2 linked regions of the Nothobranchius furzeri genome follow. The protein of the gene in region 1 purifies or fractionates together with the protein of each later gene. This does not show direct contact. Links are inferred from orthologs where the notes say so. Each region holds a gene or a part of one and is shown on either strand. Other genes may lie near its edges.

Region 1 (3,241 bases):
TATACATCTTTGCAGCCTGATCCATCTTGGGTGAGAAGGTCAGCTTCAGTCCCTCCACACTGTTTACACTCTTAGATTATGATGGCTTAAGTAAAAGCCAGATATGTCAGGCTTACCACAGTCATAGCCTGTTTGCGTACCTGCCATGAGTCCATTTCTGATGAGTCGTGGCTTAGAGGGTCGAGATTCTTCAAGGTCGCTGTCTGACCCTTCGTCCTCTAGAACATCCAAGTCAGAGTCCTCATCTTTCACTGCCAGAGACAAAAGACAAGAGTTTTGGGACTGGACAAATGGGTTTGAGTAAGCATTTAGTGTGTGTTTGATTTTCTCACAGGATCCTCTCATCAGATCTCTCTCCTTCTCCCTCAGTTTGTGCTGCACTATCCTCAGATTGTTTTCAGCTTCCTGCACAACACACAAGTAAAAAAACATTATTACCACAGGACTTTCAATTGACCATCTCTTATAATCTCATCGTGATTTATGAAAGAATCTGATTTTATGGAGACAGGTTGTGCAGACATAGTTGTAGTTTGTTACTGATATTTTCCATAGATACACTAGGGAGTGAATACAAGAAAGGTTTAGACAATTCCAGAACAACAATATGTTCCTAGTTGTGTTTGTTTATTTCACGCACCTCAAATCGTTCCTGTTCCAGTCTGTAAAATTCATCCAGCTGAGATTCCAAGAAGTTGAGGTTCCTAAACTTTTCCACATAAATCTCATACTGTTTCTGCAGATCTTCTTCTATCTTCTCATATTCATCCATGTATGCTGGCCTAAGGGATTAGGATGAGAAAATCAAAAGCATGTCTAGTAAGATTATGTTTAAAGGTCAACTTTACTCATATTTTGAATGCATTTTAGTGGTCCTTAGTGGAAAAAGTTAGTAATTCTCTGGGGAAAAAGAGCTCCGGTGCACCTGTTTGAAGACAGAATTCAGCTGGAACAGAAAGTAGCTTGAGACGGCAGGATTTAGAGTCTTATTTCCTGATATTATGACATCTTGTCTCTGATTGGCTAACAGCATCACGACTCTACCACAGACTCCATTTGATTTGCAATGTAGATATTTTATCTCCACAAATAACACATGCTTGGATAAGTTCTGCTGTGTGGTGGAGTTGCTAATGCTAACGGTTAGCTTCTACTAGTCGAGACATTCTCTGCTGCTTCGTGGATGCTAAACCAACAACAGCCTTCCCTGTCATAAGCATTGACATGTAAAAGTATGGATGTAGCCAGCCCATTGTTCCGTGGGAGGCAGGTTGAAGCCATAAATGGGAGGTTCCCACCACTGATTTTTTGACTGTGTTTGTCAGGCTTTTCAAATCCTAGAGTTTCGCCGTAGGGCTGCAACAACGAATCGATAAATTCGATGAAAATCGATTACTAAAAGCGTTGGCAACGAATTGCGTCATCGATTCGTTGTGTTGCGCAACTCTTCCAAAAGCCCCCTCCCCTCCCGCCCGCCGTTGCGCGCAGACCGGTGGAGAGCCGGCAGGTGTTTGTAAGAGGAACATGGCAGAAGCAGCGAGACTCCAAAAAAGTAAAAACTTCTAAAGTTTGGGAGCATTTTCAGTTAAATCAGGCGAAGACATTCAACGTTTGTAGGTCAGACAGCATGGCACGGGGATACTACGGTGATGATGCAGCGTCTTAAACGCAAGCATGTCAGAATCATCAGCGAGGAAGGAGAGAGCTCGGTGTCCGGGTAAGTTAAAAACTTTTCAAAAGTGATTCATCCAAGCCCCGGATTATTACACAGGCTAGACATGCCCTAAGCTCGTAAAAAAAAAGTCCATAAAATTGTAATTAAAGAGCAAGTCACCCCCAAATAAACTTTTTTTTGCTGATAAACTAAATAAACGAGTGTCTAATCGTGCTGCAGACACGTGTCGTCAATAATTTGGCACTTCAGTGCATCTTAGTTCAAATTTAAATATTCTGCCTAAAACTGGCAGTGTTGTGCCGTTGTCAGGTAAAAACTCTGCACTGTATTTTAATTTAAATCTGCCACCGCTATTGGCTAAGAAGTATGATATGATGTAAACTGGTACATTATGATGTCACAATGCTGTCGTGAGCCGGAGTGTGTGTGTATTTGTTAGCGGCTCCGCCCTCTCGGTCTGCCAGGCAACAGCATGTGTTGCATTTTTCAAACATAAAGCAGGAGTGGAGTTAGACTCTGGTAGGGGTTGACTTGCTCTTTAAGCTGTTTAACTTGGACCAAGCATTTTAGGTCACAGATAGGTGTAGCTTAGGGTCTCTGTCTATACACCTTATAAGACAATTTAGGTGATGGCATGTTGTTTTTCTGCTATTGAACTGTTTTCTAATAATGCTGTGTTTAATAAAGTGAAGGAAGGAGAAAAATAACGTTTCCCTAGCAGTTTTTAAAAATGTCCCTATGTAATCCGATTAATCGATTAATCGTGTCGAGACCCCATCCGATTAATCGATTATCCAAATAATCGTTTGTTGCAGCCCTATTTCACCGTCTTATTTTCTATCAGACGCTAACGCAGGAGACAGCTGTAGGAGACTATTTTCATGTTCAGCCTACTGGAAAAACTGAGTGGCCGATTATATTCAGGAATAATTTTAAAAAAAATTCAGCGTTCCACACACGTAAGTGAAACTGGTTTGGAGTAAATAACTTCATAAACATGTTTTTGACATGTGTAGACCATTTATTTAAGAACAAAAGTTATAATATGTCATATTTATGAACAGAAAGGTATAGTTAATCTAAAATCTGGCTCCAAATAACTATTTATGAGATATGTTGACGTGAGACTATTACATGATGTTTCCCTAAATGTCAGCTGTTCTCAGAAATCTTGGATTTAGTTTAAAATGTGTCAAAAAAAAGCAACATTAATTTTAAAGGGACTAACCATTTCTGAGAAAAATAAAAATGAAAATCTTGGTAGCACTGTTTAACCCTCCCACTGTCTTTATGGGTCACCGCGCGAGGAAAGTTGACTATTGAGCAGGATTGATAGTGTATCCCTTGAGGTCACACCCATTATGACAGTGGGAGGGTTAAACAGTTTCCTCCAAAGAGATCAGAAATTCAGAAGCTAATGGAGGAGATGGGGTAGAAGACTATCAGCCTGCATGAAAAACTCTGATCTGAGTGATTGATTATAATCAGAAATAACAATTAAAAAAAATATTTTTCTGTGAAATGAACCTTTAAAAAGTTGGTTGAAACATCTAAATGTGAAAACTG
Region 2 (4,048 bases), on another chromosome or scaffold:
ATTAGTCAAACTAGCCTATGGTTCCTGTGCTAATTGTAGCTGTGAATCAGCAGCTCAGCAGATTGGCTTGATAACATGAAACAACACCAGCCACTGCAAAATGGTTTAGTCAATTTAACAATGTCCCAGCTGAGCAGACTGATTTGGGTTGGAATCTTACTCATTAATATTTATTACATTCAGCCAACTTGACTCTGACTGGCTAAAGCCGGGCGGACACTGTGCGACTGTTTCACTCGTAGCGTTCAGCTTCAGCTCAAACTGTACGACTTCCTCGAAGAGCAAATCTCACGAGTCATGTGCTCACACTGTACGACCCAGTTCTCGGATGTGACTCGAGTGCTCACACCGTACGTCTGGTAGCAACACGTCGTACCTATAAGCATCCTAAAAATAACAGTTTTTACACAACACGCCAGACTTTTTTTGTGTTGCTATTGATGTCTGTTGTCCTTCGGGAGCGCTGTAGGAGGAGGACACACAGGGATTTATGGGGTTGGATGAGGAAGACTAAAGAAAGAAAGTAAATCAATGTTTTAGCAGTTCAATTTGACATAAATATGATTTCTTCGACAATATTCGTCATTGTGTGCGAAAAAAAGTGCATCAATACAAACAGAATTGCTATTGCTAATGGATAGTTTCTATTAGCCGGTACACACTCTGCGGTCTTATGGCTGCTTTATCAACACAGCCGACTGCGGTCACAAGCCAAGGTTGATAAGTCCTTAAATGCTAATTTTGCAGTGTGACTTAGATCTGTGTGGCTTGTTCTGACCCAAGCACTGACGTCTGTTTTTTTTCAGTGACTAATGTAGAAAATAGGGACTGGAGACTATTTTTACGTTCAGCATGCATTTATTCAACTCAGTGTGACCAACCGTATTTGATGAAAAACAACTTACATACTTTTCTCAGTGAAACCTAACGGGAGATTAGGCCGTTTAAGCGTGCTTTTAGCACTCTCTAGTGTCCGTTTGTAGAACCGAAAGCAAAACCTATCTCCTCACTGTGGGTCCATCCAAAAACAAACACCTTAATCTGAAAGCTGAAACATCTCCCCAGCCTTCCTTAGTGTCTACAAAAGAGGTTCATCACTAAATTAATAAGCTCAGCTGTGTTCATGATCTAAAACATGCAGGAAATGTGCTTTTCCTGCACAAATTGTATTTATTTATTTGGTTATACTTTTCCTTTTGTATTAACTTTTTCACAACATCACAAACAAACAGGTACAGTATTGAGAAACTGTGTTGTTTGGGGCTCTGTGTGTTTGCTTGTTAAGTAGCTGTTCTAGTGACTTTCCAGAATCCTGCTGTATTAATTATCGACACCCCTGTCACCTCGGAACCCTGATACTGCTGAGGCAGCAAGACCAGAGCAAACACACACACACACACACACACACACACACACACACACACACACACACACACACACACACACACACACACACACACACATGGCTATAATCCGGTATTTTTCTGTTCAGTACTTTAATGACTCACAGGGCTTAGTGGTAAAGTGAAGCATGCAAAATACGTAACTATAATTCAAGTCACCAGTACCTGCATTTGCAGTGTATGTGTGCGCATTTAACCTAAATCCCTTTGAACATTGGCTGAAAGAAACGATGAACAGCAGTGACATCCATTCATGACAGAGTTAGGTTAATGACACGACTCATTCTCACATGAAGATAGGCATAAATAATGCAGATTACTTTTCCACATCAGTGTTAGTTGGTACATCATGCTGTTTTGCACTTCAGTAAGTCCTAGTACAAAAGATCCAAACAAGTTGTAAAAAGCTTGTAAGGTTTCTCTGAAAATGTGAGGGTTTCCGATTCTTTGAAAATTGTGCTAGCTTTTATCTTAAGCAATGATTTAATAACAAGGAATGAATGCTGCTGTGTTTCATAACACACAAATCACATTATTTCTGATATTTTAAACTAGTGACTTAATTGAATCGACATGAATAAAACAAGTGATAGGGGAAAAGAAAAATGCAATTTCTAAATTCATCACAAAAACTGCAGAAATACTTTCAAGTAAATAAACATCATGTTACTATTTTTACTAAATAGCTGCTTTAGATTAGACAGCAGTGTTTGAGCATCAATATTTTAAAAACAGATCATCTCACCATGTTATAGTTCTTCTGAAAGAGAGATCCACCGCTGTAGAATATATGGGACAGAGAACTTTTCCCCACGGCTGCATCTCCTGCATGAACAGGAATAAAAACAGTAGAAAACAGAAGTTTATGATCTTTTTGCATCTGCAGTTTCCTCATTTAAAAAAAAACATCAAGGAAGAACTCGTTTAAATAAATGAAAACTTGCTCATTATATTTATTTAAGCGCTGTAGTTTATATTATCAATATATTTATGCTTCATCTTGAAGATAAACAAGATTTGTTGTGATGTGTCTGGTGTTGCATTGTTGAACGCTAATGAGAAATACTGAATCTGGTAAATTATTCCCTAAAAGGCTCGTATATAAATGGAGGTTAGCTAAGTATCAAAGACTAGAGAGTGTTTTGTTATTTTACATTTGAAGCTAACCGATAGCTTAAATCTCGACTGGTTAGCGTTAGCCTAGCAAACGTTAGCCAAACATAGGAAACCTTACCGACAAGCAGACACCTTGCCCTCAATTTCCCCATTGCAGCGCAAGCCTTCGTGACGCGATGAGTAAAATATGCACTTAATTCAATAATCTGGATAATATTGACTTTTACTGCTAATCTTCTAAATACTGTTCAACGCAGCAACTCGGACACAAATCGTTTCCTAGCAACCATCTAAAGTAGCGTCTTATTGGTGTACGCAGTGTATACGTAACGCTTTCATTGGCTGTTTGATATGTTGGAGAACTTCGCCCCCGAGCAAGATCTGTCAGGCATGGCTCATTCGATCCGACGGAGATAAGTAAATAGGACATTTTAAATGTTTTTCTTAACACTAATCATGACACATACTTGTAAATACTGAAAAACTGCATGTATGTAAAAACGTAATATAAATAAAATTTCAAGCGTTATGAGATATAACCGCTAGAGGGTACAAAACATACGTTTCAGAATAAAGTATTTGGAAGCGTTTTCAATGCAAAAACTCAGATTTTCTTCTTTATTTAACTGGGTCGTAATTGTTTTAAAAAATTTAATTTTCTGATTTTTTTTCTTCCTAACAGGGACGCGCTTTGATTAAATCAATTTAAGGCACGTGACTACCTCTGTGCGACACCGTGAGCACAGGCGCGTGCGCCATGCGTATTGGATGTTTTTATCGAGGATGCGCTCCCAAAGATAAAACACGCACTGTCCGAGCGGAAGCGCGTTCTCGTGGTTGCCACGGGCTCTAGGAGCTTACAGAAGGGGAGAAACGTCATCAAAACACCACCGCGCACCTCCGTGCAGAGGGACACAGAGGTTAAATTTACTACAAGCAAGAAAAAAGGGGAGAGGTGGCGCGTCAGGGAGCCTGGGTGCAGAGTCACTGAGACAGCGGTCAGAGTGGTAGGACCAGAGATTTGTGCGTCTTTCGGTTATCCGGTGCTCTACATACCCTCACACACACGCGCACACACACTGTGCCTTTGAAGCTGAAGCGGGGAAGGAGAAGGGGATCTCAGAGGCGGCCGCCCAGAGAGGAGGAGGACAATGGAGGGGATGCAGGCATACGGAGCGGGGAAAGCTGGAGGAGCCTTCGACCCTGTCACCTTCCTCCAGCAGCCTCAGACCATTCTCCGCATAGTGTCTTGGGTAAGAAACCACTCAAAGCAACAACACAGATAAATAAACCAGCTAGAGTTGTCGAATCGCTTTCTGTGGATTAAACAGGCCTGTGTCAAAGTCTGGAAATCACTTCATGTTTTTGTTGATCCAGAAACTGCTATTACTGTGTATCACACGTTATAGATAGATATTCTTATTTGTTTCTGTGAGCTGAGCTGATGTTGATGCAGTCACCACGTGAGGCCCGTTTGATCGTAAACAACCTTAACGTTTAAATGAACAGATAAGGAATTAGACCGAAAA

The links. Proteins that work in one complex are often made in the same cells at the same time.
Region 2: the proteins of cluap1 (region 1) and ift27 purify together in Homo sapiens (affinity purification with mass spectrometry; 3 studies listed by BioGRID and IntAct, with this or other methods). This does not show direct contact. The link is inferred for Nothobranchius furzeri from reciprocal best matches to the Homo sapiens genes CLUAP1 and IFT27.

What each region holds. Positions count from the first base shown.
Region 1 is NC_091748.1:64,772,046-64,775,286, forward strand, and holds part of cluap1 (clusterin-associated protein 1 homolog), read right to left. Parts: intron 783-3,241; coding exon 641-782; intron 406-640; coding exon 333-405; intron 252-332; coding exon 141-251; intron 1-140. UniProt on the Homo sapiens protein: Required for cilia biogenesis. Appears to function within the multiple intraflagellar transport complex B (IFT-B). Key regulator of hedgehog signaling.
Region 2 is NC_091746.1:76,148,433-76,152,480, forward strand, and holds the start of ift27 (intraflagellar transport protein 27 homolog), read right to left. Parts: upstream 2,802-4,048; 5' UTR 2,672-2,801; coding exon 2,638-2,671; intron 2,229-2,637; coding exon 2,149-2,228; intron 1-2,148. Other genes in the region: synaptogyrin-1, read left to right, coding at 3,671-3,772. UniProt on the Homo sapiens protein: Small GTPase-like component of the intraflagellar transport (IFT) complex B that promotes the exit of the BBSome complex from cilia via its interaction with ARL6. Not involved in entry of the BBSome complex into cilium. Prevents aggregation of GTP-free ARL6.